Linked DNA regions of Callithrix jacchus. Each later gene encodes a partner of the first gene's protein in a complex. Links are inferred from orthologs where the notes say so. Each region holds a gene or a part of one and is shown on either strand. Other genes may lie near its edges.

Region 1 (2,638 bases):
CAACCTCTCTGGCACTATAGTCAGTCCAGTCACTACTAGAGCAGTGGTCTGTTGTCAAGTTTCTTGCATGGACAAAATTCTGTTTTCTCTTTTAGTATGTATGCTGTCAAGGTTTCTTTCTTTCTTTAACTGTAAGGATCAACCAGGTGTGGCAAAAATTTTTATCCTTAGGGACATGTGTGCCATGTTTTCTTATCATGCTTTTAGATCTTAGCATCATTTTAATGTAAGTCATTGCTTGTCTCAATGTGCTTTCTTTCATAGCCCATGTACTTACACTGAAAAGGTTTTATCTTTTTAAAAACAATCACCTTATAATAAAATTTGGCCCAGAGGAGCAATGAGAATGTTAACCCTCTCTCTTGGTTGGCACAGTCACCAAATGGCTGGAAAGCATTTCATGCTCATGTTTATATGTGCTTCCAAGTTCTACTTGCTTTAGAAATCTGTACATTTTCACAATGCATTGGCAGGTTTATAGTTACCTTCAATTTATAAACAAAAATTATTGACATTGGTGACTTTTATTCTCGCAGTACAAAAAATGACAGCTTTACATTAATTGTTCTGAAAATATAGGGTGACTTTTTACTTGCAAGCAAAAGTTTGGAAACCAATTACATTGTTAGTAAGGGATTAGTGTACTGCCCATTTGGCTTATGTGGCAATCTTGTATTATAGTATAGTTTATACTAAATCTTTAGACAAGGATTTTACCTTTTTGTAGCTGTAATACTCTACACACAGCAAGAGCGTGGTACTTGTTGAGATACAGGTGAGAAACTGTAGTTCCAAGCTTCTTAAGGATAGAGATGATGTTGATTGTTCTTGCCCAGTGGCTGGCACAATATAGACACTGAATATATGTTGACTGAGTGAATATGAGGAGAAACAAGTAGTACTAACGTTAGCTCATTTTGGTAAACCTAGCCTAATACTTAATATTCTCTTAATATTCTAATTGGTCTTATTTTCTACTTACTGCCAGAAGTTAAAGTGCATTTTGCTAATCAGTCAGTAGAACCTTTGGGAAGAAAGGTGGAAATGTCTGAAACTTCCTCCCTCCCACAAGAAGGCCTAAAGATTCCTGACTTAGAACATGCGAGCATTGAAGGACCAATAGCAGTAAGTAAAAGACATCACTTTTAAGAACTATAAGCAAAGTGACAAGGTACTGGGAAATCAAACTTTGAATTGAATCAGTCAGTGGGCATCTGTGCTACTTACTAAATGGACTTGAATTTAGATAGTTCCTTTTCTTATTTGACCCAGAATTTATCAGCACTTGGAACAGAAGAACTTCGGCAACGAGAACACTATCTCAAGCAGAAGAGAGATAAGTTGATGTCCCTGAGAAAGGATATGAGGACTAAGCAGATACAAAATACGGAGCAGAAGGGAAAACCCACTGGGGAGGTAGAGGTATGGCTAACCTTAGTATGTCAAGATTTGTAAATCTGGTAGTAGAACTCTCAAAATCAGAATATGTGCAAGACAGCCTCTTAATAAATTTTGCTTGCAGACTCATGCATATTAACTACCTCCTAGTGCAGTAGCTGCTAAGTGTTTTCGAGGAAGTGAAATTGTTGTGATAAGGATTTTATGAGACAGAAAATAACAGTGGTGTCATAGTACATTTTTTTTTCTTATGCTGTTTCTTTACTTGCTCTGCTCTGAGTATGTAAGGGTCAGTGGTCTGTTTTACCTGAGCATTCTGAGATGTTTTCTCAAAGAGCAGCATCAGTATCCCAGCCACCATTTCCAACAGGGCTTCTCCAAGAAGAGACTTTATGAGTAAGAAATTTAGGAAACCTAGTCTACGTCTGTCTCTTCTTCCACCCCTAAAAAAAATGCCTCTAACCTTTGTTCATTTGAGGTAGTATATTGGGAATTTTAGACAAATGGCCCTGTTCATGGTGTAGCCAACTTTTTTTTTCCCTTTTTTTTCAGGAAATGACAGAGAAGCCAGAAATGACAGAGAAGCCAGAAATGACAGCAGAGGAGAAGCAAACATTACTAAAGAGGAGATTGCTTGCAGAGAAACTCAAAGAAGAAGTTATTAATAAGTAATCATTAAAAACAGTTTAACAAAATGGAAGTTCAAATTGTCTTAAAAATAAATTTAGTCCTTCCACTGAGACCTTTAGTTTCAAACACTTTTGTAAATGCAAGTATCTTATTATTTTAAACACTTTAGGTAAAGGAAATTGGGAAGGCAGCTACTCATATTGATTACTTTAATACAAATTCCTGGGTGTTTTTCCTTGGAAAGAGAGTATAGAAAGAAACTACTTTGATAGTTCATTCATTCAGACTCGATTACCTACTGTTTGTGCCAGGCATTGTGCTAAGTGCTAAGGATACAGTAGTCAACTGGATTGACAGCGTCACTGCCTTCATGAGGCTAGTAGAAAAGTCTTGAAGACCAAAGTGTTAGAAAGGCAGAGGGTAGAGTGCTATGAGCAGGGCTAACTAAGCCTTTTTAAGCTGAATGGAAGGTTAATTACACAAAGAATAGGTAAGGAAATAACTCAGGTTCTGCAGCAGAAAATAAAGCACATACTGAATAACTGGAGAGGCTTAGCATATGAGATTGGAGATGGGTGGTGTACTGATAGTAGTGCAGGGTCTTGTATGA
Region 2 (3,500 bases), on another chromosome or scaffold:
TAGAAAAAATAATAAATGCTTATTATAGTAAATTTAGAAAGTATAAATAAATAAAATTGAGAAACTAGAAGTCACCTATAATGCCCAGTCAGGCATACCACTGTTCCCATGTAGGAATGTATCAAGTTTTTTCTATGCATATATATGATGGGTATGTTTAAAATAAAAAATAAAAATGGCTCATAGAGGATATATTAGTTTATATCTCATATATGTATAGGTATATACATATATATATACACATATATGTATATACCTATACATATATATATATATATATTTTTAGAGACAGGGTTTCACTCTGTTGGCCAGGCTAAAGTACAGTGGTGCCATCCATAGCTCACTGCAGCCTCAAATTCCTGGGTTCAAGCAATCCTCCCACCTCAGCCTCCTGACTGGCTAGGACTACAGGCAGATGCCACCACACCCAGTTAATTTTTGGGGGGAGAGTAGAGATGGGGTCTCACTACATTGCCCAGGCTGGCCTTGAACTCCTGAGCTCAAGCTGTCCTCCAGCCTCAGCCTCCCAAAATGCTGGGATTATAGGTGTGAGCCACTGAACTTGTTTCATCTTTTTTACTTAGTAAATCATGAATACCTTTCTATGTTATTATATATGTAAATACATATGAAATATGCATCTCTACATGTTTGTGCCCTTTCATTATTATTATTTCCTCAGAATAAATTCCTAGATTTGTTGGGTCTCATGACTTATAGACATTTAAGGCCATTGATACATATGGTCAAATTCCAAGATTTATTTTACTGTTATTTATTTTCTGCTTTATTCCAGAAAGGATTCAGTATTACTGAGTTTCACATTTAATATCATTGTTGAGTGTGGAATTTTTAAATACACCAAAGTAGTTTTGCCAATGAGTTACAATGAAACTGCTTTTTTTTAATAAGCTTAAGCCATTTCCCTTTAAAATTCTTGAGCTTCTAATGTATTCAGTCATTGGCATGTTAGAGAAGCGAGAGTCAGCAGCATCCCCCATTATCCTCCAGAGACTGTGTATCCTCAGTAGAAACTGGGTGGCAGTGTTCCTGTCTAATTGCACTGTGCCTTCTCCTTCTGTGCCACGCAGCAGTGTTGACAGGCTGCCACATGAAACAAATGTTTGTGGAGGCATCTCCAAACCTATCTAAATCCGGTTATTCTGGATGAAATGTCTCTTCTATGGTAGCAAGCTATTGATTGGGTCTTTCAAATCCTGGTTTCCCTATGTAACTTTTGCAAGAAGACTTTTAAAAAAATTCTTCATGAAATACATTCTCTCAGAACCCCAAAGTACTTGTTAATTTGTTTCTTTTCACACTAAACCACCAGCTGGCAATTCTGCCTGTCCCTGATTTGCTCACCTTCCTCAAAGTTTCACCTCAAGTAACTGTCTTAGAAATGAAGACTTCTGGCCAGGTGTGGTGGCTTGCACCTATAACCCCAGTGCTTTGGGAGGCAGGCAGATCACGAGGTCAGGAGTTCGAGAGCAGCCTGGCCAACATGGTGAAACTCCATCTCTACTAAAAACTCAACATATTAGCCACCTGGTGGCAGGTGCCTATAATCCCAGCTACTCAGGAGAAAGGCAGTAGAACCTGGGAGGCGGAGGTTGCAGTGAGCTGAGACTGTGCTGCTGCACTCCAGCCTGGGCAACAGAGCCAGACTGTGTCTCAAAAAAAAAAAAAAAAAAAAAAAAAGACGACTTCCTTTTCAAGTTCATCAGAGTTGCCTATGAAATCACAATTTTAAGTGACCACTTTTTTTTTTTTCTTTTTGAGACGGAGTTTCGCTGTTGTTACCCAGGCTGGAGTGCAATGGCGCGATCTCGGCTCACCGCAACCTCCGCCTCCTGGGTTCAGGCAATTCTCCTGCCTCAGCCTCCTGAGTAGCTGGGATTACAGGCACGCGCCACCATGCCCAGCTAATTTTTTGTATTTTTAGTAGAGATGGGGTTTCACCATGTTGACCAGGATGGTCTCGATCTCTTGACCTCATGATCCACCCGTCTCGGCCTCCCAAAGTGCTGGGATTACAGGCTTGAGCCACCACGCCCAGCAAGTGACCACTTGTTTGTTTCCATCAGTGTCTGTAACCCAGGGCTCCACCTCCCTCCTGGGCTGATATTGGAGTTAGAAATCCAGCCTCCCCCATAGTTCCCTCAGTTCTGCTCTCTTTCCTGATTAATTCCAATAGGAAATTTATTTTGAGTTGCTCTTGAAGAATCTAATCCTTTAGATTTTTAGCTTTTGCCTCTTTAAATTTAGCTTGTGTTCTTTTCTGTTGAGTCTTCAGATTCAGCTTGTTTTTTTGTTAGTTACATGAAATGTCCTGTTAAATTTTATCATCGTGAAGATTCATGGGCATGTGGTGTGTGTTGATTAATTAGAGCTATTCTCATTTAGAGTTATCCTCAGCAATTATATGTCTATATTTGTTTATTGTAGAAAAACATCATGTTAGCCTGACATTATTTACACTGACTCCACAACCTGGATGAAATAAACATGTATAAATATGTTTCTTTATTCTCTGTCACAACAAATCATTTTCAGCCTTACCAGTATCACATATAGCAGAGTATTTTAGAATTAATAAAAAACATAGCTATTAAATGTAACTTTTTCAGAATTACGACCTCAAAGTTTAATAAAACTTGATGTTTTTGCCCGTTTCAGGGTTTCAACATCAAAAGTGTACAATCACAAGGTTTTAAGCTGAATGTATGGGACATTGGTGGACAGAGGAAAATCAGACCATACTGGAGGAATTATTTTGAAAATACCGATATTCTTGTAAGTACTCCTTCTGACACGGTAACTCATAGTATTTTCTGCCATGTGTTAGAAACATGGACACTGTAATGTTCTTTCTTGGCAGTAATTCCATAGCCATAATATTAATCACTGTGAATTTAGCAGGGATAGGAGAAGACTGCAGATTATAAAGAAGAAATGAAGAAACATCTTTGTATAACTTATATAAAATGTTTTGGTGTGGGATGGTGACTCACGCCTGTAATCCTAGCACTTTGGGAGGCCAAGCTGGGTGGATCACGAGGTCAGGAGTTGAAGACCAGCCTGGCCCAGATGGTGAAACCCCCATCTGTACTAAAAACACAAAAATTAGCTGGGCATGGTGGCGGGCACCTGTAATCCCTGCTACTTGGGAGGCTGAGGCAAGAGAATTGCTTGAACTTGGGAGGCAGAGGTTGCAGTGAACCAAGATCATGCCACTGCACTCCAGCCTGGGAGACAGAGCAAGACTACGTCTCAAAAAAAAAGGAAAAAGAAGAAAAAAAAGATGTTTTGCTATCGCTCAGTAACAATGTTGTACCCACACCCATCTTGGCAAAATAAAGTGTTTACTAATTGCCATAGTGATTTGAATAGCAGAAGGGAAGTCGGAAGATCATGCCACTGACTGTCACCCCTAGGAAGACAGTGAATCAAGTGTATACCAAAGAGAACAACCAAAATAGTGAAAATACTGGAAACCA

The links.
Region 2: the proteins of CFAP36 (region 1) and ARL3 are in contact, whole or in part, in a crystal structure (PDB 4ZI3), measured with the Mus musculus proteins. The link is inferred for Callithrix jacchus from reciprocal best matches to the Homo sapiens genes CFAP36 and ARL3. Residues at the interface, in NP_080016.1 of Mus musculus: Glu44, Glu45, Ser46, Lys47, Leu48, Thr51, Glu52, Lys58, Val61, Glu62, Leu65, Glu76, Phe79, Gln80, Cys83, Thr84, Ala88, Lys89, Leu97, Val100, Leu101, Ala103, Glu104, Asp105, Phe106, Thr107, Ile108; in NP_062692.1 of Mus musculus: Leu3, Leu4, Ile6, Leu7, Arg8, Lys9, Leu10, Lys11, Ser12, Arg19, Lys35, Glu40, Pro47, Thr48, Gln49, Gly50, Phe51, Asn52, Ile53, Lys54, Trp66, Ile74, Tyr77, Ser80, Tyr81.

What each region holds. Positions count from the first base shown.
Region 1 is NC_133515.1:58,640,121-58,642,758, reverse strand, and holds the end of CFAP36 (cilia- and flagella-associated protein 36), read left to right. Parts: intron 1-717; coding exon of another isoform or gene 718-871; intron 872-988; coding exon 989-1,125; intron 1,126-1,272; coding exon 1,273-1,422; intron 1,423-1,950; coding exon 1,951-2,070; 3' UTR 2,071-2,138; downstream 2,139-2,638. Other genes in the region: PPP4R3B (serine/threonine-protein phosphatase 4 regulatory subunit 3B), read right to left, coding at 718-871. UniProt on the Homo sapiens protein: May act as an effector for ARL3.
Region 2 is NC_133513.1:95,689,738-95,693,237, reverse strand, and holds part of ARL3 (ADP-ribosylation factor-like protein 3), read left to right. Parts: intron 1-2,679; coding exon 2,680-2,796; intron 2,797-3,500. UniProt on the Homo sapiens protein: Small GTP-binding protein which cycles between an inactive GDP-bound and an active GTP-bound form, and the rate of cycling is regulated by guanine nucleotide exchange factors (GEF) and GTPase-activating proteins (GAP).